Rhinolophus ferrumequinum: one gene and its partners. The protein of the gene in region 1 purifies or fractionates together with the protein of each later gene. This does not show direct contact. Links are inferred from orthologs where the notes say so. Each region holds a gene or a part of one and is shown in the gene's direction. Other genes may lie near its edges. The genes, in order: EAPP, CD2BP2, TSSC4 and PRPF6.

Region 1 (7,385 bases):
CTGGGGTTGGTCTCACTTTCCTTTTAGTAAAAAGGATGTTTCAGCTTTTTTTGTTTCCGCCATCCTGTAGGAACTCATCCTCCCTCACTAGACACCATTATTATGAGGATCTTTCCTAACCTCCATTAAACTTTGAAGTTAAGATTTCCCCTACCTACTTAATAGGGATCGTTTTTTCCTGGTATCTTTTTAAGTAAGTCTGTCTTAAACTACTTCAAAGAGGTGAACGGGTTCAACATATACAACAACTAAACCTAGTCAAACCTAAAGGGGGAAAAAGTCAAGATTTCAACCTGGAAGACATAAAACCAGGGCAAAGTATGAACTTCATCCACTGCAAATTTTGCAGTGATCGAGAAGTATATAATAGCAATAGAAAGTATATATTTTAAAACACCTGAAGAAAATTGTAAATACACTATTATGTTTTGTAGTCTATTTCATAATAGTCCATTTAATCTGTTCAATTATAATTTAAAAAAATGTTTTTGTGTGTACTGCAATAAAGCTTTATTTGCAAAAGCAGGTGGTGGGCCTGATTTGGCGCACAGACCATCCTTTGCCAATTCCTATTTTAGAGCAGCACTGTGCATTTAACATACGATGCAAGGCCTTAATTTTTTTTCAATATTTCTATCTGCTATTTAGTGATTCCTTTCAAACTGTAAACTCAGTTTCTTTTTTATTAGTTTCAGGTGTACAAAGCAATATAATAGACATTTACACCCCTCACAAAATGATAACCCCCGACAATCGAATACTCTCTGACATCGTATATAGCTATATGACCTACGCTGTACTCCACATCCCATGACTATATATATATAATGTATATTTAATTATAGTGGACATTCAATATTATTCAATTTCAGCTTCAGGTGTATAGCACAGTGGTCAGGCATCTAGCATCTACACAGTCCATGAAGTGATCTCCCTGATAAGTCCAGTGCCCATCTGGCACCCCACATAATCTTTACATTATTGATTATATTCTCCACACTGTATTTCATATCCCCGTGATTATACCGTGACTACTAATTTGTACTTTCTAATCCTTTCACCTTCTCCCCCATGTACTCCCCCTCCCATCTAGTAGCCATCAGTTTTTTTCCCCCTATATCTCTGAGTCTATTTCTGTTTTGTTTGTTCGTTTATTCTGTTCTTTAAATTCCACATATAAGTGATGTCAGATAGTATTTGTCTTTCTCAGTCTGACTTATTTTGCTTAGCATAATATTCTCTAGGTCTATCCATGTTGTTGCAAATGGTAAGATTCCATTCCTTTTTATGGGCGAGCAATACTCCATTGTATAAATGTGCCACAGTTTCTTTATCCAGTCTTATCAATGGGCATTTTGGTTGTTTTCATATCTTGGCTATTGTGAATAGCACTGCAATAAACATAGGGGTGCGTATATTTTTTTCGAATTAGTGTTTTGGATTTATTTGAATAGATACCCAGGAGTGGAATTGCTGGGTCATAAGGTAGTTCCATTTTCAATTTTTTGAGGTACCTCCATACTGTTTTCCATTGTGGTTGCACCAATTTGCAATCCCTCCAGCAGTGCATGAGGGTTCCTTTTTCTCCATATCCTCGCCAACACTTATTTGTTGATTTATTGATGTTAGCCATTCTCACTGGAGTGAGGTTGTATCTCATTGTGGTTTTTATTTGCATTTCTCTGATGATTGGTGATGTTGAGCTTTTTTTTTTTAAATTGCTACAAGGTTTTTTAATTTTATTAGTTTCAGGTGTACAAAATTGAACGTTTTTTTCATATGTGTGTTGGCCATCTATATGTTCTCTTTAGAGAAATGTCTCCATGTCCTCTGCCTGTTTTTTAATTAAGTTTTTTTTTTTTTGGTGTTGAGTTGTTCAATTCTAATTTTGTTTTTAGACAGTAAGCCAAACCATTTTTTAGACAGTAAACTATATCCTTTATATCTCTGCTATTCTGCCCATGAGTGGTGGAGTCTATCTCTTACCTGAAATCTGGACTTAGTGACTGGCTTGACCAATAGAATGTGGTAGATGTGATGCTCAGGGAATTCTGGGGCTTGGTCAGAAGAAGCCTTCCAGCTTCCATCTGGGTCTCTGGGAACCTTGTAAGAAGACTGACTACTCTGGAGCTGTCATGTTGTGAGGAAGCTGAAGGCTTTGTGGAGAAAGATACATGGAAAGAGAGATGCTCAGCTAGTCCCCAGTGGTTTCAGTCCCAATCTGGGACCCCAGACATTAGGGAGCAGAGTAATCCCTGCCAAAATTGCAGATTTGTGATCAAAATAGATGATTGTTTTTGTTTCAAAGCTCTTAAATTTTGGAGGTTGTGTTTTTGTGCAGCAATAGAGAAATGGAACAGGTAGACAGGAAGTAAGCAACCAAATAACTTATGTGAAGTAGAAGCGGGGGAAATGGATTAAGGGATAGAGAAGATGGAATGGAGAGAAGGGGTTGGATTGAGACCTTTAGTTTTAGACAAGCTGTTGGGGAGAGCCTCTCTGCTTACCTCTGCTTGCTACATACTCCTGCTTTTATTTGCTTGCTCACCATCAGCACATACAACCCCCAAACAGCCACCCCAAAATGTCAGCCTGAGCCCCTGAATTTACTATTCCGGTAACAAATCCTAAGACCACAGCCACACCTTAAAAAAAATTTCTAACTCTTCATTTTTAAGTTTATCAAAGTAAGTAAGTGAATAATGGTCCAACTTTTGTGGAACAGAATGAACATGGATGTAAGGGCATATCCCTGAGGAGGGCCACAATTCCCAGAAAAGGAAAAAACAGGTTCCCCAAGAGGGATTTCCTTCACATCATGTGACACATGGGAGAGTATTTTACCTCTTAAAAGAGTTGGGGGGAACAATAGTTGAAAACCAGAGAAATACATGGCATGTGAGAGGTACATTATCCTACAAGAGTTTTCAAAGCAGAGCAAGATCCCATATAGAGGGAAAATCTGAAAAGGCATCATAGAAAAGGTACAATGTGAGTTCCCATAACTATAGCATCTCATGGCTGAAAGGTATCCTAAAGGGTCATTCTGTCTAGTTACTGACCCATCCATTACTTGCAGATGTATCTTGAACGACAGGTAGGGTTTGGATGGTGGAATTAAAAGGAGAGGGTGCTCCAGGGAATAGCATAAGGAAAGGCCAGTAGTAGATGGGATAACACATATTCTGGAATCAGCAAATTGTGCTGGTAGGTGTAGGGAAATCAGTTTGGCATGATGGATTGAACCATATTGTTGAGGGCCAAGAATACTGCAGGATAAGGTGAACAGATCAGCAGGTAAAGGGGAAATAGTAGGACTTTTTGGGGAAGGAAATCAATCATCCAGAGCAAAGCTGTGCTGGAAGGTCACTCTGCCGAGTAGAGTAGCAAAACAAGGCTGTCAATTAGGAGCACAGATCAATCAATAGTCTCAAGGTGAGGGGTAGGGAGATAAAATGTGGATGAGCGAGATGTTGCTAAGAGATCAACAGGACTTGGGAATTGAGGGCTCATGGAGGGACAGAGAAAGGAGTCAAACAAGAGTCCAAGACTTTCAGCCTGTACCAGTTATAAGGATGAAGGAAGTGACAAATCAAGAGTCAAAAGCAGCTGAGGTATAGGAATGGGGTGTAAGATACTGAGTTGGGTTTGAGCTATATTGACTTTGGATTGCCAGTGGTGCCGCAGGCGGAGATATCCAGCCAGGCAATTGGAAACCTGACGTATTAGTATGGAGGAGAGGGCAAGGACCAAAATAAGACGCGGTAGTCACCTGAATGTAATCATGAAGAGGGGTGAGTTGTCCTGGAAGGAGACAGGAACTTGAGTATAGGCTGGTACAGAAACGGGAGAAATGGTGTTACAATCAAGAAGAGGTCGTCATCTACCTCATCTCAAGTATTGAGTGGAATCGGATAAGGGCTGCGCAAAGGTTGGGACTGAGAAGAGGCCAAGAAAAGGCAACTGGGAAGTAAAGTAACTGGTGACAGTCTAGCAACTGTTGGGAAGCCGGTCAGAGCCGCAGTCAGACTGCGGAATGAATAGTGTGAATACGAGGCAGCCGCGCGCGGTGGGAAGGTAGAAAGACTCGCCGCGAGGAGGTTGGAAGGACATCGGGTCCTAGTGTCTGAGGACCTACAGGCTGCACGTCCCTCAGCATCTAGATTTCTGCTTCTTCACGTCACCACACGAGACACTGTACGTGGAGTGTTCACCTCAGAGACCGTCACTTATGAGGGTGCCTATTACTATTTCTAGTAATAAACTAGCTGTTTTCACGTAAGCGGAAGCCGAGGAGAGAGGTGGCCGGACACTGAGATCCATCTCCTCCCCCTTTCCCCTCTTCCTCTCCCCACCTCACTGGGACGATATGCGCAGGCGCGCAGGGAGGGTGAGGCTGTGCGGCCGGAAGTGGAGTCCGGAACGCTTTAGGGGAGGGACCTGCGGGGTAAACAGGTTCTAGGCCAACGCCTGTAGACGGTTTCCGAGCGTGGAGGCCACCATGAACCGGCTCGGAGATGACTATGACCCCTACGCTGTTGAAGAGCCTAGCGACGAGGAGCCGGCTTTAAGCAGGTGGGTCCCTGGCCCTCCGAGGCTCTCTATTCTTCGGGCCTTCGCGTCCTCTCTGCGCTGCGCCTGCTGGGCCTGTGCGGACCCTCGGCCCAGCGGTTCCGGCACCAGTCGCGCCCCGCTGTCGCCAGTGGGACGCCGAGGGGAGTTCTGGTGAGGTCTTGCAGCCACGGGGGAGGCAGGGCCAATACCAGCGCCGGGAAGCGGGGGCTATTCTGGAATCGCGCGTAAGTCTTCAAAAGCTTTGAGGTCGAGCCCTGGCCTCTTCAGCCTACTTAGCAGTGTGACCGAAGGCAAGTCACTTACTTTGTTTCTCATCTATAAAATAGGAAATACAATACCTGTATCGTAAGTATGTGTAAGGCTCGTGGGACTTAATGGGAAGTGACCATCTTGAAGACTAATATGCCATAAACAGAAAATAAGGGAATGATTAACAGACTTTTTTGAGCATCTATTACCATGTTTCCCCGAAAATAAGACCTAGCCGGACAATCAGCTCTAATGCGTCTTTTGGAGCAAAAATTAATATAAGGCCCGGTCTTATATTACACAATATAATATAAGACCGGGTCTTATATTATACAATGTATTATACAATATAATATAAGACCGGGTCTTATACTGTACAGTACAGTATAAGACCCGGTCTTATATTAATTTTTGCTCCAAAAGATGCATTAGAGCTGATTGTCCCGCTAGGTCTTATTTTCAGAGAGAGTATATGCTTGCTCTGGGCTACACAGGTCGATCATAAGATTTTTGCCTTCTACAAATCTTACAGTATAGTAGGGGAAATAATATATACCGGGGGTGCCCAAATAATGTATAGAAGTGGACACTTTGGTCAGCGTTGCTCAAGCAGTAGTTCGCCGTAATCAGAAGTGTCTGGACGCTGATGGTAACCATTTCTTGTACTTGCAGAAGTCAAACGTGACTTGTATTCATCTTTGGTTATCGGTATATATTGAGTATTATAATTTTAATACAGTTTTCCTTTCTTAAAATGTGTATACATTTTTTTTTTTGGCACCCTCTCTATATCTCAGAAGGTATGTATTTTGGAAATAAGTATGTATTTTGGAAGAGCATTTTGGAAAACGATTACCTGAGATAGGCACAGATGAAATTCCGTGGGAATTTCCAGAAGGGATTAACCCTACCTGGGGGAAACTTGCAGATACGTTGGCAAGAGATTTCCAGGCAAATTTAGCCATTTTTTAAAGCTGTCAGCAGATCCTACTTATAAACTTGAAAACATCTGTCCAACTGAGCTTTTTGGTCTGAACTTTTTGTAAAACTGTCCTACCTTCAGTCACAATGTTTCTTCACATACTGGGGAGGGGTTGCAGGCATAGGAGTTCAGACTGCTGTGAAGATTTCTGTTGTGGGGAATGAGGGTGGCCTGTGAAAAAAGTTTCAGTTAATGGGTCAGGTCTGTGAAAGGAGGTATATGTAGGCCTCAATTAGTAATTCAGTTTGATTGGAATATAGCAGTGTTTCCTGTATTTGAGTTATTCTGCCATTGCCATCTCCATATAAAACTGTTACTATTTATTTAATATTTTTCTTTAAGTTGTTTACATTTTTGTAGTTTAATTTCTTAAAAGAAGCTTTATAATCTTGTGACAATTGCCTCTGGTAAAGTAATTAAAAATACTATGAAAACAAAACAATATTATTAGACAGTATTGCCTGCTCAAGGCTCTGAATCCAATACTTGTTTTAAAAAGGGAGATTGGTTTTAGAGAGGTGCTTGAGAGGAGTCTGTCAGGATTTGGTTTTACCCCAGGTGTAAGCTAATATTTTATACCTGTTACTGTTTCATGGAAGCTGGCAGAAGATCTGAGATTCCTGGGTCAGACAACTCACAGCATAGCAGGCAACATGAGCATTATGTTCTTACTGGTTACTCTTATGTCCCAATTTCTACAGGGGTTACATGGTGAGAGACCCAGATGGATGCACATTCAGTGAGTTGGCACTGTGGCTGAGGACCACTTGAGCTTGAAGAATCCACCTCTTTTATAGCAGGCAGTAAATAAGCCTGCTCTTTGTCCTGGAAAGGGACATTACTTCATCCCTCTAGGTTTTTTTTTTTGTTGTTGTTGTTGTTTTTTTTTCTTCTTTTTTTTTAACAGCAAACACAATTCTGAAAAATGGCCTCGGTAAAAAGTGGTGAGAACCTTGCATTCTTGATATATCAACAAGAATTTGCAGCACCATGATGTATTGCCTCACCCAGCAGTGCTAAATGCTGAGACTTCTCTTGAAATAATCACTAGGCTTGAAGAAAATTTGCAAAAAGGCATCTCCGAAACTCTCTTGCCTTGTCATTCAATTTTTTTTTAAATTAAACTTTTTATTTTGAGGTAGATTCACATGCACTTGTAAGAAATAATTCAGAGATTCTGTGTCACCTTTATTTGGTTTCCCCCAGTGTTAACATATTGCAAAACTAGTACGATATCACATCTGGGATAGTGACACTAATACAGTCAATACAGAACATTTTCATCACCACAAGGATCCCTTCTATTCCCCACTTCCTGCCCCCATGCCCTGCTTATCCTCTGGTAACCACTAATCTGTTCTCCATTTCTATAATTGTGTCATTTTCAAAAAACATATAAGTGGAATCATGTAGTCTGTAACCTTTTAGGATTGGCTTTTTGCACTCAGCATAATTCTCTGGAGATTTCGTTGTAGGTATCAATAGTTCATTCCTTTTTTATTGCTGAGTAGTAGTCCACGTTTAACCATTCATTCAGTGAAGGACATCTGGTTATTTCCAGTGTTGACCATTGTGAATA
Region 2 (7,359 bases), on another chromosome or scaffold:
GGTCTGCATGGAGCTGCGTGGGGGCAGGTTTAGTTTGGGGCACAGAGCCCCCAACTCGTGTGGTTGCCTCATGGTCTCCCCCATACTCACAGGCAACAGGACCTGTACCGAATCCTGAAGGCTTACACCATCTACCGGCCCGACGAGGGCTACTGCCAGGCCCAGGCCCCGGTGGCCGCCGTACTGCTCATGCACATGCCTGCTGAGGTCAGCACCCCGGGGCCCGGGCTGGGGGTTGCGGGGGGGACCGGGGGGACGCCTGGTGCTGGCGGGGGGCATCCTCTGCCCGATTCTCAGGCCCCATCATCCCTCCCACTCTCGCCCTTCTCAGCAAGCCTTTTGGTGCCTGGTGCAGATCTGCGACAAGTACCTCCCTGGTTACTACAGTGCAGGGCTGGTGAGTGTGGGGCGGCTTGGCGCTGGGGCTGTGACTGTCCCCAAGCACAGGGAGGCCCTTGTCCCCCCCCCGCCCCTGTCCCTCTGCACAGGGCTCTCCCACTGAGGTGAGGATCCCCTGCTCGATCGGTCGGACCCCACGGGGGCCACGGCGGGCCTCTCCTCACGGCTCGTCCACCTCCAGGAGGCCATCCAGCTGGATGGTGAAATTTTCTTCGCGCTGCTACGCCGGGCGTCCCCGCTGGCTCACCGGCACCTGCGGCGACAGCGTATCGACCCCGTGCTCTACATGACCGAGTGGTTCATGTGCATCTTCGCCCGCACGCTGCCCTGGGCCTCTGTGCTGCGCGTCTGGGACATGTTCTTCTGCGAAGGTGCGAGCCTGTCAGGCCAGGGGGGCCGGGCTCCCACTGACCCAAGGTGCTTGGTGGGCCTGGTCTCGGCTCTGCGGCCAACCCGGAGCCTGTTCTCCCTGCCAGGAACCTGAAGCCCCTGGCGGCTCATTTCCCTGCTGGGCCTTAGTTCCCTCACCCCTAAGGTTGGCGGGGTGGGGCGGAGTGCCTCCTAACCGAAGGCTGGGACCCAGGCCCCATCTCCCCACTGTCTCCTCGGCCACAGGCGTCAAGATCATCTTCCGGGTGGCCCTGGTGCTGCTGCGGCACACGCTGGGCTCCCTGGAGAAGCTGCGCGCCTGCCAGGGCATGTACGAGACCATGGAGCAGCTGCGCAGCCTGCCCCCGCAGTGCATGCAGGAGGACTTCCTGGTGCATGAGGTAAGCCCTGGCCGTGACTCAGCCTCGCCTGCTGCAGGCCAGCCGCACCGTCATTGCATCTGGCACCCACTTCTCCATCCAGGTGACGAACCTGCCAGTGACAGAAGCACTGATTGAGAGAGAGAACACCGCCCAGCTCAAGAAGTGGCTGGAAACCCGGGGGCAGCTGCAGTACCGGCCCTCCCGGCGACTGCACGGTTCCCGGGCCATCCATGAGGAGCGCCGGCGACAGCAGCCCCCCCTGGGCCCCTCCTCCAGCCTCCTCAGCCTCCCTGGCCTCAAGAGCCGAGGCTCCCGGGCAGCTGGGGGGGTGCCCTCTCCGCCCCCTCCCGCCCGCAGGGCCAGTGTTGGGCCTGCCCCGGGGCCTGTGATCACCGCTGAGGGACTGCATCCATCTCTTCCTTCTCCGACTGGCAACAGCACGCCACTGGGTCCCAGCAAGGAGACCCGGAGGCAGGAGAAGGAGCGGCAGAAACAGGAGAAGGAGCGTGAGAAGGAGCGGCAGAAACAAGAGAAGGAGCGGGAAAAGCAGGAAAAGGAGCGGCAGAAGTGGGAAAAAGAGCAGGAGAAGGAGCGGCAGAAGCAGGAGAAGGAGAAGCAGAAGAAGGGCCAAGGCAGGAAGCTTTCCCTGCGTCGAAAGGCCGACGGGCCCCCAGACCCACAGGATGGTGGCGACCGGGCCTCCTCATCTGAGGCCCGCCAGGACACTTACTTCTGACCTCTGCCCCGGGGCTGGACTGCATGGCCCCCCTTTTTCCCTCAGCCAAGAGCAGGCCCCTGGGCAGACTGTCCTTTTCTGGGGAAGGTGGCTTGTTCCCCGTCCCCTTGCCAGCTGCTGATCCTACAGCCAGGACAGTCAGAACATGGGGCATGGGACAGCTCCGTTCCCTGGGGCAGCCGTGACACATCTGGGGCCCCGCACCTCCAGTTAGGCCCAGCCGGGGTCTTTGTCACTCCTGCCCCGGTTCCCTGTGGGGTCCCTTCCCAGGTACTGTCCTGATTGGCCTTCTGTCACCACAGGGGTGACTCCTGGCGATGGGAGCCAGCAGTTTTCAGATTCTTACACTCCACTTGCTCCCCTCATTCATGAAGCGGAGCCGAGTTCCTCTTTCCCCTTCTTCAGTCCTGCTTGTCTCCACTTCCTGGCCGGGGCCCAAGGCCCTCCTTGTTCAACGTGGACATCTCGGGGTTGTAATGACGAACAGAGGACCCGGTCAGCCCAGGGTGGGGTGTCCGCTCTGTCTTCCGTCCTTCGGTTCTTCCGCAATGTTCTTGTACTCCCGATTTATTTAATGGGACATGCACTGGAATAGGAAATGTCCCGCAGTCCTGGCTCTTCTTCCTGTTCCTCCTCCTTCCTCTGTATTCTCAGGCTTCCCCTGCTTTGTCTCACCAGGGCCCACACCTTTCACCTTGTTCCCTTCCAACCTTCCAGCCCCTCTCTGGGAAAGGGGTCTTCCCTTAAGCTCCCGGGGGTGGAACCCAATGTTTACATTCTCTTCTGTCTCTGCCCCCACCCGACGCAGCGCTTTGAGAAACCAGAAAAGATCCTGCTGTTGTACCTGGGCCTGTCTCCTGCCTTGTTATTTGACGAAGGCGTTAGAGTAAGAACTAGGGATACAGGAAGCGGCTTTTGAGCCAGAATCGATTGAAGCAGTCAGCTGGTCGTGGCCGTTGGTACCCCTCGGCCTTTGGTCCACTTCACCCATCAACAGTTGTTGAGCTCCTGCTCCAGCTTTTCTGGGATCTGCTGCCTCCATTGTCAGTGGCCTGAAGCCCTCTACGTATCACCTGCAGCACCCAGATGTCCTTCCCAAACTGCTCATGCAACTCCTGGGAGCTGAGGGGGGGGACAGAAGGGGGCTAGAAAGCCACAGCCCTCGGGGTGAGCTGGGCAGTCTTGGCCCACTGCCTGGCACAGCTCCCAGTACTTGGCCTCCAGGGAGCAGCCAGCTGCCTCCAGCCAGTGTCCACGGCCAGGCTCCCAGCTCCTCGTTGTCTGCTGCCAGCTTGTAGGCCTGCCCCCCTTCTGCACCGTCTACCCCAGGGGTCAGGTTGGTAAAGGCCTAGGGGTCTGTAGCTCCACCGGGCAGTTCAACGGAATGAGGCCCAGGGGTGTACTTCGTGCTCCTGGTACAAGTGTCCCCAGAGGATGTACCAGTGGCACTGGGAGCTGGTATTTCAGACCCTTTAGGGAGATGCCCTCTCAGTCTGGAGTGTGTGTTCTGGACCCACCCATGGAAGAAACTGCGGTTTCATGGGAGTCCAATCTGGGAGGAAACACCGGGGGCAGGAGACCGGAGGGCTGGTTCGTCGTTTCCTGGGGACCGATGGTTCCAGTAGGCTCTTCCTGGGCACAGCCTTAGCCTAGTGGGATTCAGACTCCCAGTGTCCTCAAGAGCTAGAGGGCGTGTCCCCACAGCACTGGGACCCACTGCTCCCACATCCCCACCACAGTTCTGCCTGTCGGCAGGGGCCTAAGGCAGGGGCTTTGAGAGGCGCTGCTGCACTTTTCCAGGCCTACTTGACATCCGGGCACGCGGGGCTTCTGACCCATGTACTGGGCATAGGTGCCACTGCCACCTCTCCGGTTAGGGCTCTTCCCACCTCAGAAACGAGGGGATGGTGGGAGGGGGGCGGGGAGTGATGGTAAATGGCCCCCCTTGGGTCCTGAAGGGAGTTGGGTTCGGAAAGCGCCCCACGGGCGGTCGGGGGCCTCCAGGCGGGCCATCAGGAGAGCCGGGCTTCCCCTCAGGGAGAAGCGCAAAGCTGCACCTTGAACCAGGAGAACGCAGACAGCTGGACGCTGAGGGGGCAGGCCAGGTTTCCACTGAGATGGTGAGGGGCGCAGAGCCTTGGCCAGCCCTGGGGAAGATGGCGCAACCCTGGGAAGGGAAATCAGAGCGGGAACCCACTGGCCCTGCTCGGATCTTGCCGTCCGCCACACCCCGGGCGCCCGATTAGATAGAATTCGCTCCACTTTCTCCCCAGCGCTTCTAGGGCTGTGAGCCACCGCTCCACTTCCGGCCACCCTCGCGTCCCATCCTGAGCCATCCCTCCACTTCCGGCCACCCCTCGCGTCCCATCAGGGTGTAGGCATTCTCCAGTGCCCTCTGCTCGTCGTTCCGTCCCACGCAGCTCGAGTCACTCCTCGGGGGGAGTGTGCCTTCCCCGGCTCCTCGGACTTCCGCCCACCCGCTCTCGCCAGACTGAAGCCACTTCCGGCCCTCCTGGCGCCTTCCGCAGTTCTCTTCCGGGTGATGGCGGCCCGGTGCCCCGGATGCAGCCCTAGCGGAAGCTTCGCTCCTTGCCTTCCCCCACCTTCCCGGGGTCCCTAGGTGAGCGCGCGCCGGTGGCACTGCTGGGGTCCCTGGGGCTCTGGCGCCTCTCATTTGTACACAGAGCCCGGCACAGTCGGGGGTCACCCCGCGGAATTGGGAGTTCGTCGCGGGGAGAAGCGGGGCGGCCAGGACGCCAGATCCCGGGTCCGCCCGAGCCTCACGAGCTCCGAGGGAACTGGCGGTGGGGGAGCAGCGGGTGTTAAGCCGGGGAGCGGCGTCGCGCCCGGGATGCCAGGGCTGGGGATGGGGGTGGTCACGTGGGGGAACTGCTCGGGGCTCCCGCCTCTCCGGCTCGGCTGCAGCCAGTCTGTCGGATGCCAGACCAGGTTCCGGGGCCTCTTGCCTGTCAACGCCCCTTTCGGCCCCTATTTCTGTACCAGGGGAAACAAACGTTTGCTGCGCTGGGGCCCTCTCGCGGCGAACCTCCTCCTCGCCCGGTTCCCTTACTCTGCGTCCTTTCTCTCAGCTCAGCTCGAGGCAGGTCCCTCGGTCCAGCCATGCCAAAGAGGAAGGTGACCTTTCAAGGCGTGGGAAATGAGGATGAGGAGGATGACATCAGTGTACCCAAGAAGAAGGTGAGGGGGCCAGACTCCTGCGTCGTAGGGAGGAGTGAGGGGGAGAGAAAAGAAACGAGGAGCCCGAAGAGGGAAAAAGCGTGGGATACAAAAAGGGCAGAAAGGAAAGGACTAGCTTCGCCGTCTTCTCTGAGAAATGGGTTTGGGAGATTGTCAGTTTGAGTCCAGATCCTAGAGCATTTTGAGGACTAAGCCGGTAGGTAACCTGCCTCTCTCGACCGGCTGGCTCCTGCTCACAGCTCGTGGACCCTGTGGCCGGGGCAGGAGGGCCTGGGAGCCGCTTCAAAGGCAAACACTCTTTGGACAGCGATGAGGAGGACGACGAGGAGGAGGGGTCCAGCAAATATGACATCCTGGCCTCGGAGGACGTGGAAGGTGAGGTCTACGGAAGCATTGATTCTGCTGCGGGAACGAACCGGCTTCTGGGACGTGGGCCAGGGCTCCTTCTGTCACCGTCGCATGCTTAGTGTGAAATGCCTGTGTTGGGTGCAGGTCAGGAAGCGGCCACACTCCCCAGTGAGGGAGGTGTGCGGATCACACCTTTCAATCTCCAGGAAGAGATGGAAGAAGGCCATTTTGATGCGGACGGCAACTACTTCTTGAACCGAGAAGCTCAGATCCGAGACAGCTGGCTGGACAACATTGACTGGGTATGGCTCGGGGGCTGGCGGGGCCGGGCCGGAGGCGGCAGGTGCTTGGGCTCTGCGGGCAGTTTGTCAGAAATAATCTCCGTGTTCTCTCTCACGGTACAGGTGAAGATCAAGGAGCGGCCACCTGACCAGCATCCACCATCGGACTCCGACGAGGAGGATAACTTGGGCCAGACACCCATGAGCGCCCAGGCACTCCTGGAGGGCCTCCTGGAGCTGCTGCTGCCCAGAGAGACAGTGGCTGGGGCCCTGAGGCGTCTGGGGGCCAGAGGAGGAGCCAAAGGGGGCAGTAAGGGGCCCGGACGGCCCTCTTCCCCCCAGCGCTTGGACAGGCTCTCGGGGTTGGCTGACCAGATGGTGGCTCGGGGCAACCTTGGTGTCTATCAGGAGACAAGGGAACGGCTGGCCATGCGTCTGAAGGGGTTGGGGTGCCAGACCCAAGGACCCCCTGACTCCATCTCCCCACCTTCTCTGGACATGTTTGCTGAAGAAGTGGCAGAGGAGGAGCTGGTGACCCTGTCCCCTGCCCAGAGAGGTGAGCTTGAAGGGCAGAGGCGGGGTCTTGTGGGCAGGGGCATGGCGCTGGAGGCCCACACGGCTTTGCCTGTGATTGTAGAAGCAGAGTCGCTCGGAGACGGGCTGGAGGACGTGATGTGGGAGTATAAGTGGGAGAACACGGGGGATGCTGAGCTGTACGGGCCCTTCACCAGCACCCAGATGCAGGTAAACCCCTTTTCGCCTCCTTTCTGCCCTCGCACCCATCAGTCCTCCACCAGCTCTGCCCTCTCTCCCCGCAGACCTGGGTGAACGAAGGTTACTTCCCGGATGGTGTGTATTGCCGGAAGCTGGACCCCCCTGGTGGACAGTTCTACAACTCCAAGCGTATTGACTTTGATCTGTATACCTGAGCCTGCCGAGGGCCCAGTTTGGGGGCCCCTTCTTTCATGGACTCTGGAGGAGGCCCCAGCTGCCTCAGGCAATGAGGATATCGGGGGCCTCTTTTCAGTCAGTTTTCTTTCCCAATAAAAGCCTGTAGTTGTGTATTAAGGCCTCGGCTGTGCTGATGGCCGGAAGCCAGGGATCCCCTACAGCCCCTTTGGACTTGTTTCAGCCCTTGACTGTTTCCTCATGAAGTTCTTCTGTGGGAGTTTCTGGTCCCTTGAACCATCTCACCGTTGACCAATCCTAGAGGCAGAGCCAGGATGTCAGGTGTCCTGTGGCCTCCCCACCTGGCCTCTGCTTACCACCTAAAAATCCCTTCACGCACATACTATTCTCCGGTACCCTCTGGGGGTTCCTGTTGCTGTTCTGAGGTCTTTGGCTTTTAGGATCTCAGTTAGCATGTCCTGGCAGCCACTACAGAACGGAACTCCAGAAGGGGCGTTTTAGGCCTCGAAGGGCTGGGACAGCAGTTGGGCGTGAGCAGGAAGCCTAGTACTCACTGGCTCCCACTGTCTCAGGCTCCTTAAGTGACATGCAGGCTCAGTGTTAGCACAAGGTCACCTGATCCTGCCACCCATCGACTAGGCACAGAGTAGGGCAGCATGTCATTGGAGGGGCACACAGTGAGTCAGAGGCCAGTAGGCTCGCTTCCCAGACGTTTTTTGGTACTAGGTCTTTTCTG
Region 3 (8,004 bases), on another chromosome or scaffold:
GAGGGGAAGGAGGCGCCCCCGCTGCTCAGTGTGGGGGAGGGGTCAGACTACGGGGTGCTCTTTGGCGCTCCTCCTGGGGCCAGCCTGGTAGGAAGGCCACAGAGGGCTTTCTGGAGGAGATGGCCTGGGGGCTGAGCTGGGGGTGGGGGTTGGGCCTGTCCCCCGGGGGCTGGCCCTCACTGAGTGTGACCACATCCGTCCCCAGATTGCCAAGGACGTGAAGCAGTTCTATGACCAGGCCTTGCAGCAGGCCGTGCTGGACGACGACGCTAACAATGCCAAGACTGTGGTGAAGACCTTCCACGAGACGGTGCGCTGGCCGGGGAGGCGGGGGCTGGGGGCCGCCTGAGGTGGGTGGCAGCCGGAGCCTGGCTGGTGCTGTCTGACCTCAGCCCAGACCTGGGGTCTGGCAGCTCTGCTCTCAAGGGCCGAGGGGCTTCCTGTGCCAGCCCTGGGGGGGCTTCTCTGGGACCTTTGGGTCCTTGTGGGAACCAGATAGACCAGGCCGGTGGGAGTGCAGCCTGGCTGAGCTGGAAGGAGGGAAGGAGGGGCCTTGGGCAACGTCCTTCCCGGAGGGGACATCCCAGCCCCCACCCGCACGCCAGAATGGGGAAGCCGTCGGGATGCATGTCCCTGGCCGTCTCCCCACACATGCGTGGGGCTGATCGTGGGCCCCCTGGGTCTCTGCAGCTCAGCTGCTGCGGCTCCAACACCCTGATCTCACTGGCCACGTCTCTGTACAAGAACAATCTGTGTCCCTCGGACAGCAACTTCATGAGCAGCGTGTTTAAGGTGTGTGGCAGTGGGTGCGGCGGGGCGCCCCAGGCGGGCTGGCCGGCTGTTCCCCACTTCTCTGCGTCCCTGCCCCCTGCGGGTCCCAGGTGTTGGGTGGGCCCCCAGGGGCACGTCAGGGACATGGCCACCATGGGTGGTGCTGTGGTCTGAGTCGGGTGCTCTGCCTGGGGGCTGTGTTCTACTGATGGCCCCCAGGGAAAGTGCGGGTTCCGATGGGGGAGTCTCAGTGTCCGGCAGCCAGTGGGCGTGGAGGGTGACCCCTTGGTCAGCATCCATCCTTGTGATGCTGAGTGGTCTCTGAGTAGAAGAGGGTGCACACAGCACATTTGTTTTGAACTGGATGTAAGATAAAACCCAGCAGAGACCCGGCCCTGTTCACGCCTCTTCTGAGGGCAGCCAGGGCTGTGCCCCTCCGTGCTCTTTCTGCAATGACCCCAGGCTGCTGCATTGCGGGGGGCCCGAGGACCAGCACCCCTGACCGCCCGCTGGCCATCCCCCACAGAAAGACTGCCACCAGAAGATTGATGAGCTCTTCTCGGGGAAGCTGTACCTCATCGGCATTGCGGCCATTGTGGTCGCTGTGATCATGGTGAGCAGGGGCAGCAGGCCGTCTACTCAGGCCCCGTGGGTCTCGGTGCTGGCTGGGGACTGACGGGGTCTCCGGGTGCTGACGGGGTCTCCGGGTGCTGACGGGGTCTCCGGGTGCTGACCGGGTCTCCGGGTGCTGACGGGGTCTCCGGGTGCTGACGGGGTCTCCGGGTGCTGACCGGGTCTCCGGGTGCTGACCGGGTCTCCGGGTGCTGACCGGGTCTCCGGGTGCTGACCGGGTCTCCGGGTGCTGACCGGGTCTCCGGGTGCTGACGGGGTCTCCGGGTGCTGACGGGGTCTCCGGGTGCTGACGGGGTCTCCGGGTGCTGACGGGGTCTCCGGGTGCTGACGGGGTCTCCGGGTACTGACCGGGTCTCCGGGTGCTGACCGGGTCTCCGGGTACTGACCGGGTCTCCGGGTGCTGACGGGGTCTCCGGGTGCTGACGGGGTCTCCGGGTACTGACCGGGTCTCCGGGTGCTGACCGGGTCTCCGGGTGCTGACGGGGTCTCCGGGTGCTGACGGGGTCTCCGGGTACTGACCGGGTCTCCGGGTGCTGACGGGGTCTCCGGGTGCTGATGGGGTCTCCGGGTACTGACCGGGTCTCCGGGTGCTGACGGGGTCTCCGGGTGCTGACGGGGTCTCCGGGTACTGACCGGGTCTCCGGGTGCTGACGGGGTCTCCGGGTACTGACCGGGTCTCCGGGTACTGACCGGGTCTCCGGGTACTGACCGGGTCTCCGGGTGCTGACCGGGTCTCCGGGTACTGACCGGGTCTCCGGGTGCTGACGGGGTCTCCGGGTGCTGACCGGGTCTCTGGGTGATGGCGGGTACTGTCGGGGTCTCCGGGTGCTGTCGGGGTCTCCGGGTGCTGACGGGGTCTCCGGGTGCTGACGGGGTCTCCGGGTGCTGACCGGGCCGCCTCCCACAGATCTTCGAGATGATCCTCAGCATGGTGCTCTGCTGTGGCATCCGGAACAGCCCTGTGTACTGAGGCTCCACCGCTCTGCCCGGCGGGACCCCTGCGGTGCCCCCAGAGCGACCTGGACACTTTGAGGAGGGTATATAACCGCCTGTGTATATAACTTTTCTGGTATTACTCTACTACACTTATTAGTCCTTTTACTTTTGAGGTTTTGTTTTTGTCCTGAAGTTCCCTGTTACCTTTTGGGGCTGACGTCACCTGTACGTGGCGTGTGAGTGGGCCTTGGGACTGCAGGACAATGGCCCCCTCTGCTTCTGAGGCCTCTTGGGGGACTCCGCCTATTCAACCAGGCCTCTCCAGGGGGCCGAGGGGGCCCCCCCACTCCAGCTGTGCCCTCCCTCCCACCCACCTGTCCCCATGGGTTGCACGGCTCACGCCTTTTTTAATCCGTGTTCCTCTCCTGCCACCTGTCTCTAGAGCTGGGTCTATGAGTGGCCTTATACTTTCAATGCATCTGTCCTTTCTAACACGTCACCTACGATTGTAATTACATCTTGAAATTCATTCAATAAAGAAGGAAAAACCAGGCATGCTAACAAACTGTCCAGCCCCTTCCTGTGCCCACAGCATCTGTCCCGGGGTGGCCCAAGGGACAGAAGACCCTCACACAGGTGGGGCTCAGCTCTGTGGACTTTGCCGGGCCCAGGTATGCTGCCCACCTTGTTGGGGTGTCCGGGGAGGACTCCATCCTCCAGGTGGCAAGTGCCCCTTTGTTGGGCCCTGTGCTGCCTACAGAAGCCTCCACCCAACCGCACTCCCAGCTCTCCTCCTCATGCATTGCTGCCAGGAGCGGGCAGGGCGGGTGGGGCGGCCAGGGACTGTGGTGTAGGGCATGCTTGAGGTGGGGGATCCCCTTCTGAGGGACAGCTCTGTAGAGGACAGATGCACTGCTCCCTCCCGAGTGTCTGAGGGTCCTCTCCTTGCCTGTGGAGAAGCTGGGTGGCTGTGGCCAAGTGGCATCCTGCAGGGGCTGGAGGGGAAGGTCTCAGCCACACCCAGGAGGGGCCACCTGGCCCACCACAGCTGTTCTTCCCATAGGGCATGGGCCTCACACAGGCACTGACCTGTGTGCACTTTATTGTTTTTTTTTATTGGGGAAGGGGAACAGGGCTTTATTGGGGAACAGTGTGCACTTCCAGGATGTTTTCCCAAGTTGTTGTCCTTTCAGTCTTAGTTGTGGAGGGAGCAGCTCAGCTCCAGGTCCAGTTGCCGTTTTCTAGTTGCAGGGGGCGCAGCCCAATATCCCTTGCGGGACTCGAGGAGTCACACTGGCAACCTTGTGGTTGAGAGCCCACTGGCCCATGTGGGAATCGAACCGGCAGCCTTCGGAGTTAGGAGCACGGAGCTCCAACCGCCGGAGCCACCGGGCGGCCCTGACCTGTGTGTACTTGAAATTGACCCCTTGAGGCCACGAGGCCTGGCTGGGGATTCGGGAAGGGCTTCCTGTGGCCTTCTTGGGGGCTGATTTTAGAAACGAACCCCAGCCCTGCTGCACTGAGGGTTGGGGTGTCATGGGGCCTCCGTGTGCCCCTCCACATCTTGTGCTAGGGCAGCTTGGTTGGGACAGTAAGACGGCCCACGGCGGCCCCTCCTCTCTCCTGGCCCCTATGCTCGAGGCCGCGGGGACATCCTAGCAGAGGGCTGGGTGTCACCTGCAAACTGGTTCCACTACAAAACCAGTGCTCGGGGTGGACCGGACCAGCACTTCCCCACGAGGCCACACGGGGACGTGGGGGCGCTTAGGAATGAGGTGTTGCGAGCTTGCACGGAAAAACAGGCTGTTTCTTCCTTGGTTTCCCGGGCCAGGCGGCAGGGCCTGCACACCGGATGCGCGGAGCACGCCAGGACACCAGGCCTGGGACAGGGACCGGGTGCAGCAGGCCAGCCGCTAGGGGCTGAGGCGCCGCGACCTTGTGGGGCACGAAGCGGCCCCAGAGGGAAAGGGAGCAGGGACACTTGGCCTGACCAGGGGAGACCGGGACCTGTCCTCCACTTCCCGGCAGCACTGACCAGTCTGGCCATCGGCCGGCGGGGCCAGGTCGCCACTCCCAAGTGGCCTGCCCCCCCCACCCCCACCCCTGCCCCCGCCCCGGCTGCCCTCCAGCCCTAACACACTCGGAGGTTGAGATGAGCGCTCAACCTGCGGTGCGCACGTCTCTCAGAACCAGAGGGGCGCGGCCGGCCGCTTCCGGCCAGGGCCGGAAGTGTCCGCGAACGGCGCCGCGTACGCCGCGCACTACGACGCACTTCCGGTTTGAGGGACCTCTCATCATGGCTTCCGGCTGCGCGCGATGGGGCCACGGGAACACGGCGCTGACCGTTAGCACTCGTGTATTCTGGGAGTCGCGGTTCGGCCTCTCCCTCCGCCCCCTTCCCCCGCCCGCCTCCTCTCAGTCGGTTCCGGGCTCTTCGCGAAAGAGCGCCGCCATTTCCGGGGAGTGGAGGCTGCGAAGAGAGCGCATGCGCAAGGACTACAAGTCCCGACAGGCCTCGGGAGTAGCGGCCCAGTACGTTTTAGGAGATGTAGTTTTTCAGGGGCGGAAGCCGCGGCACTCTGCCGGCGGGGTACTCAATTTCCCATAGGGTCGAGCGCGGCGCAAGATGGAGGCGATCGGGCCACAGTGAGCCGGTAGGTTGGTGGTGAGGGGATGGCGGCACAGGCCAGTCGGGGCCTACTGCCCCGAGCCCAGAGACCCCCGTGCCTCGAGGCCTGGCCCTTGGGACCCCGAGACTCGTGCGGTCCCCGGACCGTGGCCCAGCCAGGCCGGCTTGGTCCCCGAGACCCAGGCCCGACAGGGAGAGCCTGGTGCGCAGGCGGCGAGGCTCTGGGCACGCACAGTGCAGAAAGTGAAGACTGCTTCCCAGGAGGGAGAGAGAACCCACTTCCTGGGACTTGGCCTGCCTAGACCCCGGCCCTCTGACACCCCTGCCCGAGACCCAGCGCCACCCCCGCCTCGGCTCTGCGGCCACTGGGCTCCCGAAGTGCTCGGAGAACTCCGAAGAAACGGATGCCCGGATGCCTTCTCTGGGGGGCTCGGTCTCCCCGTCCCCCGCCCCCCGAGTGTCCCACTGATTCTGCTACTTCTCGCAGTCGCGGGAGCGTCCCCAGCGGTGCAGCGGACGGGAGTGCGAATTTGGGAAACAGGAGTCGGCTTGGAACTGCGGGGCCGGCTCTGTCGCCCCTTCGCGCTCCTGGAGGTAGTCCTTCGTTCAGGAATGGAGGGCTCGCCTTTGTTTGCCCCGGGACAGGGCCGTCAGAGCCCCTCCTGGCCTGTTCCTCGGTGGGTGCGTCAGCAGTGAGTCCCCCCCACCCTGCGGCGAGGGAGGCGCGGTGCGGGGGGAGGAGGCGGTGAATGGACGGCTGAGAGCAGGGCAGAAGCGTGAGGCTGGGCTGACCCCTGGGCCTGGACACACAGGCCGCGAGCTGCCTGGCCACACGTGGCCACCACACGGGTGTCAGCAGCGCTTCTCTGCTCAGCTGGGGAGGAAGCAGGGGGTGCGGGGAGGGCTGCGGGAGAAGAGACATGCCCCCCGAAGGTGCTCCTAGAGCCGCGGCGGCTTGCCTCTGCCCAGCGTGGCTGTGCGCGGTGATCACAGACGCTCCACTTGCCTGAGAGCTGGACCCTCAGATGCCGAGGACTTGGCTGCACAGCCCCCTGGGACTCCAGGGTATCGCCCAGCAAACGGGAACAAAGCTCCCCACATGCCAGGCAGGTGCCACGCGCCACGTAAGCAGCGGATAAGTGGTTGCACTCGGTTGTGAGTGGGAGTGTTGAGCGGGGGCCGCCCTTGGCCCTGGGTTCAAGGGCCACTGGCTGCTCACGACCGGAATCTTCCACCAGCAGTTCTCTTGGTCGCTCGAGTTGGGCTCCACTTGAGAGGATTGTTGGGACTGAAGGAGGTGACATGTCAAAAACACCTGCTCGCTGGCCTGGCCTGGCCCAGCCCGTGTCGGCGGCTCTGTAGACCCAGGCCCACTTCCGGGTCATGGCACCCCCCCACCCCGTCATGTTCGCCTTCTGGGCTGATGGTTGGCTCTCCCTTCTCTCTCTCTCAGCTACGCTTGAACAGCTGAACAGAGCTGTGCCTGGAGACCTTCTAGGCGGAGGCCACACCCACGCCTTTGCCACCTCTGCCAGCGGCTCCGTTCACCATCCCCTGCAGACAAGGAAGGTGAGGAGGATCGTTCGGGGGGAGAGGGACCCGGGGCAGTGGGTCTGCAGGCGAAACGTGTTTTAAACCCATGGTGTCCTCAGAAACCAACTTCATGGGCTGTTTTGGTCTAGGTGTGGTGTGGCCCAGGACACATGGCTGAGGCGGGGACTGGCGAGCCCTCCCCTGGCTTGGAGGTCGAGCAGGGCCCCGAGTATGATGATGTCCTGCCTTCTGATACCATCTCCCTCAGCGACTCGGACTCTGACCTCAGCCTGCCTGGCAGTGCTGAGCTGGAAGCTCTGTCCCCAGAGGGGCTGCCAGGGGAGGCCCAGGGGGACTCAGGCCCCGACGAGCCCCCCTCGCCCCCCAGGGCCCTCCCTACAGCCGCAGTGCAGCCGTTCCACCTGAGAGGCATGAGCTCCACCTTCTCGCAGCGCAGCCACAGTATCTTTGACTGCCTGGAGGGGGCAGCCGGGCGGGCGCCACCCTCTGTGGTCCACACTGGCCTAGGGGACCGTGGGGGCTTCAAGCGGCCCCTGGCGCCCTCACGCCAACCTCCAGCAGAAGGCCCAGGCAGGGCCAGTCAGAGCCCTGTCCCCCGGAGGGCGCCCCCCGTCCCCGACTATGTGACCCACCCTGAGCGCTGGACTAAGTACAGCCTGGAAGACGTGGCCGAGGCCAGTGAGCACAGCAATCAGGCTGCCGCCCTGGCCTTCCTGGGCTCCCGGAGCCTGGCCGCCCCCGGCCACTATGTGCCCTCCTTCAACCAGGACCCCTCCAGCTGTGGGGAGGGCAGAGTCGTCTTCACCAAACCGGCCCGCGCCGGCGAGGCCAGACCAGAGAGGAAGCGGGGTCTGAGAAAGGCAGGGGCGCCTGGTGGGGCTGAGGGGCCTGTGGAGCTGGCCCACCTGGCCAGGCCCGGGAGCCCAGAGGCCGAGGAGTGGAGCAGCCCGCGTGGGGGCGTGCAGGAGGTGGGCACGCCCGAGGGGGACACCCACACCGAGTCCGCAGCGGGCCCCCCAGGGGTGGACATTGTTGGCTTCCACGGCAGCAGGAAGCGCAGTAGAGACCACTTTCGGAACAAGAGCAGCAGCTCTGAGGTCCCTGGTGCTGAGGGGGCTGAGGGCTGACCCGAGAGCCTGCCTTGGACTTGAGGAGCCCCAACCCCTTGGGAAGGAAGCCGGTGGGCTGCCTGTCGGTGGCGCCAGCGGCCCTGGCTGGGGCTCAGGCAGTGGACTCGAGCAGAGACCTTGCTTGCCACTGATGGGCCCACTGGGTGCCCGTGGGGAACAGTAAAGCTTTTGGGTATTCCTCAGGCTCTGTGTCTCTGTGCAGACCCCACCTCCCCAGGACCCGTTGGCTGCAACCTTCTGTGCTCTCCAGCCTGCCCGGTCACCCGTTCCCACACTTGGGCCTACCCGACAATGTCGGTCGGGGGCTCGGAGAGGTTTTAAAGCTCCGCCTGCTCCCCTTGGTGGCAGAGC
Region 4 (6,979 bases), on another chromosome or scaffold:
TGCCCCCAGCCCCATAGCCCCCAGCCCCACAGCACCGGTGATGGCGTGCTGGGAGAAGGCCTCCACGTAGACGAGGTAGTTGTGGGGACAGTGCTTCTTGAGCCACTTGCAGACGTCCTGCTGACTCCACAGGACCACAGGCCTCGTCAGGCCACCCAGTGAGGGACTCGTGTGGTACAGGCCACAGTGGTCAGAGTACAGCCAGCCCTGTGAGGGAGAGGGGTAGCAGATAGAATGAGGTGGTGGGGATGGCCGGGGCTGAGATGGGTACGGTGGCTGGGTACCTGGGGGGTCTCTGTGCCAGGCTGCTGCAGGAGCTTGACTGGCCGGCCACCTGCTGCCCTCTGACTGCGTGAGTCATGCCATGTGAGGCTGGTGCCTGGTGTCCTAGGCAGGTGGCAGGGGATGCTCTCGGTGGACACCGTGTGCTCCAGGAGGGTCCGGCAGAAGCTGAAGTGGGCAGTGGCTGCAGAGGAGGGGTGCCTGGTCAGAGTGGTCAGGGGCCCAGCCAGAGGCTCCCCTCGTCACTCAGCCCATCTCCCCTCCACTGAAGAAGGAGCCACTTTCCCAAAGGCAGAAGGAAGCATCGAGAGCTGTCTTGAGGGCCCCACCCAGCCCAAAGCTGAAGAACTGGAACACCTGTACCCTCCAAGTCCACAGTACATGTTCTGGGGAGCCAAATGGATTCTTAGAGAGAGCGGACGCCCACCGGGAAGCCTAAGACTTACAGCCAGGGGTAGGGCTCTTCTGGGACAGCCCTCACCTCATGCTTGCCTTGGGCTGGCACATGCCACACCTAACGAGGGTGCACACACAGGCCCTTCCTACGAGGAAACATTGGACCGGTGTCCTGGGAGGCCCGTGAGGACCGGTGTCCTGGGAGGTATGGTGAGGAGACCCCCTGGGTGCACTGCGGGCCCATCGCCACGGATTGTGCCATCTCTGCAGACATCCCTGCCACGTGAGGTTTGGCCCTGCCCAGCTGTGCTCACTGGTTGTGACTCATGGACAAGAAGCCTAAACTCTGGGCAAGCCAGGACCTGGGATTCCTGCTCCCCCACCTCCCACAGGGTCGCCAACCCAGGGTGACTGCTGTGCATGGTGGGTCTGCAGCCGCCATGGGCCGCTCAGCACAGGCCCATAGGCTGCAGCCATGTGCTCAGGGACCCCTAGTGACACCTGGAGCTCTCTTCCCGTACCAACTTCATTACACTCGTCAACACTTTGGTTTTATCATCATTTCTGGGCTGGCTGCTGACCTGAGTGGGGGAGGAGCAGTCGCCTGTTCACTGCCCCTCCCAAGACCTTGCACAGGTCCTGGTGCAAAGGAGGTGCCCAGAAGTGTTGTGATGAATGAACGGATGGACGAAGGTTCTGTGTGATGTGCATCTTTACAGCATCCAGGTCCTCACTCAGCAGGGAGACCTTCCTTCCCACGGACACAGCCCCCCACCCCTCGGGCAGGATTTGGCCCTGTGCCTAGGTCTCAGTAATGGGGGAAACCCACATCTTGCTCCCCTCCTTCCACCCCATTCCTGCAACTTTCCACTACCAAATAACCACAGGTGCCTGTAAATTTGAGGTCTAGGGTCAGACTGAGAGTGTGGACGATGCCTCGAGGTGGCTTCTAGTACCGTGGGAAAAGAATTAAAGCCGAGACCTTTCAGGGGACAGGCCCTGGGTCGCATCGCCTTGCCTCGCCTCGCCAGGGCCCGGCCTGGGTAAACCAGTCGGACACCTCCGTGGGCGTCTCACCTGTCCCGGGTCAACGGGACCCGCCCATTTCCTGCCCGCGCTGGGGGGAGGGATCTCTGTGGGTACATCCGTCCTTCCCTCCCTCCCTCCCAGCCCCAACGTCATAATTCCCGTAGAAAATGGGGTGGGGGCGCACGATCCCGGCTGTGGCCCCAGCCCCTTCTTCGCTCCAACGCAAAGGCTGGGAGGGTTTTCTCCGCGCGCGGAAAAAAAAGGTGACCGCACGGTAGTGCGGGCCTGGGGACAGAAGCCCCGGCCGGTGACCTCCCCCAAGCCAAGGGTGCGCTGATCCCCAAGGCCTAAGGCCGCCCCACCTCGCCCCCAGCGCAGCACAAAGACACAAGAGACCCCAGATCCGTCAGGACGCGCCCCCCTCTCTGTCCACTGCCGCCGCTCAAGTCCGCCAGGTCCCGCCCCCGTCCCTCTCGGTTCCCAAGCCCCCAGCCCACGATATCCCTGCGCCCGGATTCAGCCCGGCTCACCGTCCACATCCCGGCGCTCCCCGAAGCCGGCGCGCACAGCCCCGGCGCGGCCTCGCGGGGGGCTCAGCTTGGTCCTCAGCTCCGTGAACATGGGGCCCGCGGGGCCCGGGCCCGTGCACACGCCCCTCGCCGGGCGCAGGGCGGCCCGAGTGGCCGGCGGGGAACGCGCGCCACCGCCCCGCCCCAGCCGGCCCCGCGCCGGAGCCGGTCCCCGCGCCCGGCGAGTCTGCGCGGCGAGGCACCTGCCGCTGAGCCCTGAGAGCTGGGCGCGCTCCGGGAGCTCCGAGGTGTGTCGGCGGCGCGCGGGTCTGCGTATGCAGAGTGTCTGCCAGGGCAAGGGGCGTCCCTGCGCACCTGGGCATGGCTCCAAGGACGAGTGACTGGGCACCTTTAGGGGTCCAGGCGTCTGCAGGGCCCTCTGAAGCAGGGAAGTAAGGACACATTCCGCGTGTGTGTGTGTGTGTGTGTGTGTGTGTGTGGTGGAGGGCCTCCTACCCATCCTGGGACCTTCTGCCCCCTGGGGCCCAGGTCAAGGATTAGACCCATCCCTTCAAACCACTTCCCTCCATTTTTCTACCTTAGTTTTCTCCTTTAATTCACATTCTCCAGACCTCTCCAGAGGTCTCTCCCTCAAATGGGCACTTGCTTCCCCAGAGAAGTCAGTTTGACTCTCTCTTATCTCATCACACTGAACTCTAGGAGGACAGCCAGCGTCTCTCCCTTTCCTTCTGTAGCCCCAGAATCGGATTCAGTGCCCAAGATGTGGCTCTGAAAGGGGCTTGGCTGGGGACAGGGAGGAGCAACCCCAAGGAGGCTGCAGCAGGCAGGAGGGATGTGTTTGCTGCAGGACGCCAGTGAGAAGAGCTAGGGTGGGCTGGGGCTGTCTGGGCCAGCACAAGGCCAGACTTGGGACCTGAGTTTTGCCTGCTCTGCCAGGAGCCTGAGTGCTCTCCCAGGTATGTGTGGGGGCCAGAGGATGTCCCATAGCGGAGTGTGCTAAGGTGCACGTGGCCACCCAGAAATGTATGCAGAGTACAGTCAGGCATGCCCATGACACCCACAAGTAGAGATTGGCATGGAATTCACCCAAATTCTGTGATCGCCCACGCCCATATACTGACTCTCCCGACATATACCCGCCGCATTTATTTATTTCCATTAATTAGCTCAACAGGTGGGCTCTTGCCCTCACTTGAACCTTCAGGGTATTATGGGACTGTGAGTGGGGACCTGTGCTGGAATTGGAGCTCAGGAATCCGAGTCCTGAGAGCCAAGGCAGCAAGCAGTCTGTACACAGGAGCACACACAAACAGGTGTGCTCACAGTCGTGACACATACACTCCGCACAAGCTCTACACAACTGGATAGCTGTGCAGCACCCCTCAGATGTGTTATGGCCTGCCCCGGGGCCAGGGCGACTCTGAAGGGCAGGGTGGGTAGCTAGGGCTCAATCCTAGGGCTCCCTGGCAGCTGGGCTGGCTCAGAGAGGGAGGGGACCCACGGGTCCTACTGGTACAGGCAGGTCTCCTTGGAATGCATCGAGAACACGCAGTAAGCAAGGGTGCCCAGGCTCAGTTTCCAGGTCCCTGGAGGTTTGTCCAGAAAGGCGTCGCCCCTGGACCTCCGGCGGGGCTGTCCGCCGGCCCTCCTCGCCACAAGGGGGCGCTCTCGCTCACGCACCTGCCGCATCTCCGTCCCTCAGCCGCGGCCGGAAGTCGCCCAGCCGCGTTTCCGGAACTTCCGCCCGTGGAATCCGAGGCGGCCGGAGCTTCGTGCCGACCTGGCGCTCTGCTTCCGGGGCGCGGGTGACGCGGGGCGCGCGACCTCTTCCTGCAGTGAAACCTCGGACGTCTGTGGTGTTTTGCCTCCCGCCGCGGTCTCCGTCCTTTCCCTTCCCGGCCCTTGTCGTCACCTGCGCCATGAACAAGAAGAAGAAGCCGTTCCTGGGCATGCCCGCGCCGCTCGGCTACGTGCCGGGGCTGGGCCGAGGGTGAGCCCCGGGGCGCGCGGCGCGGCCCTGGGCCCCGGGGCCCGGGTCCCGGCGGGCGCGCCCTTGGGGAAGGGGCACAGGGCCGGTCTGTCCTAACCCCCCACGGCGACGGGGAGACGAGAAGGGACAAAGGCGGGTTGCTTGCTTTAAGCTTTGTAGGAAGAATCGTTCTTGGGGTTAGGACAGACCCGAGCGAGTCCCGCCAGTTACCTAGGAGCGGGGTGACTGCGTTTAGCTACGCCTTGGCTCTGAGCCCCTTTTGGTGTCTAAGATGGGTGACAACACCGTTTCGCAGATCTGCCGTGAGCAGCAGCTCAGTTCCTGACGTGTCTACCGTGGGAACGCGGCGGCTCCTCTCCGCGGGCCCGGCAGACGCGCACCCACCCCCAGCCCCGCCTTACGCAGTTCCCGGGAACCCCGGCGCGATTCCTCTGTGGCCGCTCATCGCGCCACATTCTTTCCCTGTAGAGTCGTTGGTCACATACTGTTTGTTCAAACTCTCAGCTCCCGGGAGCAGGGATGGCATCTTTGAGGCTTGTGACAGAGTCCTCCCTGCCTGTCACACAGACTGCGACCGTAAATTGTTGAGTAAATGAGCAGTCATTTTCATCCTGTTTGGTTAGTCATCTGATTAGGAAGACTACTGGGTTTCTCTTGTCGAGGATGGTACCGTATGTTAGAATCTGTGGAGGACACAGAAGTGTCAGATAGTGGCACCATCTTCAGGGGACCTGCACTCTGCTAGGCGAGGTGAGGTATATGCATAAGTAAGTACATAAAGAGGAACAGATTTAGGATTGGGGTTCCAGTGATCAGGGAATGCTCGATGCAGTGCTAGCATTTAAGCTAAGTTTAGAAGGCAAGATGCATTTAGGGATGTAGACATGTAGCAGGTTATAGGAGAAACCGATGTTTTGTGTGTCGCGCAGTTAGGAAAAAAGATGAGGCATGGAGGGAGATGAGGGGATAGCAGGGAGTCCATGGGGCTGGGATGTGCAGGGAGCAGAGCTCCTGTGGGCATTGCAGAGGTGGTCCCTCAGGCCTGCGCTCCAGCAGAGGGAGACTCGGTACAGGGAGGCCAGCTTGGTTCCGAGGCCTGGGACCAGGGATTTGGAGGAAGACAGTACAGCTCCGTGGCAGGTGGGAGGGAGAGGGAGGCAAGCCAGGTGTCTGCCTAGGTGCCCTGGGCAGCACTGCCGTCGTCTGTGGAGACAGCCCCAAGCAGCTGCAGGGCAGGCACAGAAGAGGAGCTCTGACTGGGTCAGGTTGGGTGTGAGGGCCTGCTTGGATGGGGAAGCTGTTGGAAATGGGAAACTGGGACTTTGGGGGAGGGCTGATGCCCTGACAAGTCTCAAGGAGAATATGGGGACAAGATGGCCTTAGTGATCCCTTGGGGGGGGCAGGAGGTTTCCTGTTTGAAGAGAGCAGACTGGGAGTGTTTGAGAGCATGGCCACGCGTATCTCACTCCACCAGGACCTTTGGAGATTTCCCAGAGGTGTTAAGTGACAGCAGTGGAGGGAAGAACACAGGAACAGGGTCACCCAGATCAAGGAGTATCTTGGGGTCTCTTGCAGCGCCACTGGCTTCACCACCCGGTCAGACATTGGGCCCGCCCGGGATGCCAATGATCCCGTGGATGACCGCCATGCACCTCCAGGCAAGAGGACCGTAGGGGACCAGATGAAGAAAAGCCAGGCTGCAGACGACGACGACGAGGATCTGAACGACACCAACTATGACGAGGTGACCTGTGCTGGGCTCCCCGGCCAGCCTGCAGAAGGCCGGCCAGCTTCTTAACACGGTGGCATCTGTGATGAGTGGCTTGGCCTGGCTGGCCCATTTCCTGTTTCAGCTCAGGAAATGTCTCCCTGAGACACCTTCAGGGTGTCTCCCTAGCAGAGTGTGAGAGGGGAGTAGGAAGAGTACAAAGAAACGTACACTTTTGTTTTCTCTTCAGAAGACGTTTACTGAGAACCACTGCATTGGCATTTTATCCTGGCCAATGAAAATTTAAATGGAATTGGTGATAATGTTTGCTTTCCTTTGCTTTAGTGCTTACTCTCTTAGTTAATTGGTGTTTGGTCAATTGAAGTTTTCTTCAGATATGTTCTAACAGATGGCATTTTTCTCAGAGGAAAAGATTTGAATACTTTACTTCTGAAATAATTTTAAATTTACAGGGAATTTGCAAAAATAACATGGAGAATTTCTGCATACCCTTCACAAGTTTCTCCCCATCTTACATGGCCTTAATACAATTACTGAAACAGGAAATTAACACAGCACTCTTAATTAGTCTAGTGTATTGTTTGAACCCCACTGGTTTTTCCATCTGTAGCCTCCGTCAGGCCCCAGGCCTACCACCGGCTTCCATTGTGCATGTAGTTGTGTTTCCTTGGGCTCCTCCAGTCGGGATAGTTCCTCCTGACACTTTTGAAGAGTACTGGTCAGTTATTTTGTTACTCCTCGGTTTGGGTTTATCTGATTGAAAAATATTGTTTAGCAAGCATTTTGCAACTGGTAGTGTTCTCTGTTTCTCCTGGTGGGGATTAAGTTGGAAGAGAAGCTGATCCTCCAAATATGTTGTTTGGTTCTTAGTTTAACGGCTATGCTGGGAGCCTCTTCTCAAGTGGGCCCTACGAAAAAGACGACGAGGAAGCAGATGCTATTTATGCAGCTCTGGACAAAAGGATGGATGAAAGAAGAAAAGAAAGAAGGTAAAACTAGTTACTGCCCTTCACTATCTCTGTC

Evidence for each region.
Region 2: the proteins of EAPP (region 1) and CD2BP2 purify together in Homo sapiens (affinity purification with mass spectrometry; 3 studies listed by BioGRID and IntAct, counting the BioPlex papers as one, with this or other methods). This does not show direct contact. The link is inferred for Rhinolophus ferrumequinum from reciprocal best matches to the Homo sapiens genes EAPP and CD2BP2.
Region 3: the proteins of EAPP (region 1) and TSSC4 purify together in Homo sapiens (affinity purification with mass spectrometry; 3 studies listed by BioGRID and IntAct, counting the BioPlex papers as one, with this or other methods). This does not show direct contact. The link is inferred for Rhinolophus ferrumequinum from reciprocal best matches to the Homo sapiens genes EAPP and TSSC4.
Region 4: the proteins of EAPP (region 1) and PRPF6 purify together in Homo sapiens (affinity purification with mass spectrometry; 3 studies listed by BioGRID and IntAct, with this or other methods). This does not show direct contact. The link is inferred for Rhinolophus ferrumequinum from reciprocal best matches to the Homo sapiens genes EAPP and PRPF6.

What each region holds. Positions count from the first base shown.
Region 1 is NC_046289.1:82,863,585-82,870,969, reverse strand, and holds the start of EAPP (E2F-associated phosphoprotein), read left to right. Parts: upstream 1-4,374; 5' UTR 4,375-4,501; coding exon 4,502-4,575; intron 4,576-7,385. UniProt on the Homo sapiens protein: May play an important role in the fine-tuning of both major E2F1 activities, the regulation of the cell-cycle and the induction of apoptosis. Promotes S-phase entry, and inhibits p14(ARP) expression.
Region 2 is NW_022680357.1:763,893-771,251, forward strand, and holds the start of CD2BP2 (CD2 antigen cytoplasmic tail-binding protein 2), read left to right. Parts: upstream 1-4,349; 5' UTR 4,350-4,507; intron 4,508-4,667; exon of another isoform or gene 4,668-4,691; intron 4,692-4,976; 5' UTR 4,977-5,007; coding exon 5,008-5,085; intron 5,086-5,324; coding exon 5,325-5,460; intron 5,461-5,577; coding exon 5,578-5,735; intron 5,736-5,837; coding exon 5,838-6,270; intron 6,271-6,351; coding exon 6,352-6,458; intron 6,459-6,532; coding exon 6,533-6,643; 3' UTR 6,644-7,359. Other genes in the region: TBC1D10B (TBC1 domain family member 10B), read left to right, coding at 93-207, 332-397, 581-770, 1,015-1,169, 1,252-1,887. UniProt on the Homo sapiens protein: Involved in pre-mRNA splicing as component of the U5 snRNP complex that is involved in spliceosome assembly.
Region 3 is NC_046294.1:1,585,709-1,593,712, forward strand, and holds TSSC4 (protein TSSC4), read left to right. Parts: upstream 1-5,000; 5' UTR 5,001-5,373; coding exon 5,374-5,563; exon of another isoform or gene 5,564-5,646; intron 5,647-5,661; exon of another isoform or gene 5,662-6,068; coding exon of another isoform or gene 6,069-6,075; intron 6,076-6,422; coding exon 6,423-6,538; intron 6,539-6,651; coding exon 6,652-7,650; 3' UTR 7,651-7,842; downstream 7,843-8,004. Other genes in the region: CD81 antigen, read left to right, coding at 206-310, 691-792, 1,298-1,384, 2,312-2,374. UniProt on the Homo sapiens protein: Protein associated with the U5 snRNP, during its maturation and its post-splicing recycling and which is required for spliceosomal tri-snRNP complex assembly in the nucleus.
Region 4 is NC_046306.1:203,006-209,984, reverse strand, and holds the start of PRPF6 (pre-mRNA-processing factor 6), read left to right. Parts: upstream 1-3,965; 5' UTR 3,966-4,156; coding exon 4,157-4,227; intron 4,228-5,802; coding exon 5,803-5,971; intron 5,972-6,826; coding exon 6,827-6,945; intron 6,946-6,979. Other genes in the region: SAMD10 (sterile alpha motif domain-containing protein 10), read right to left, coding at 36-207, 285-466, 2,238-2,736. UniProt on the Homo sapiens protein: Involved in pre-mRNA splicing as component of the U4/U6-U5 tri-snRNP complex, one of the building blocks of the spliceosome.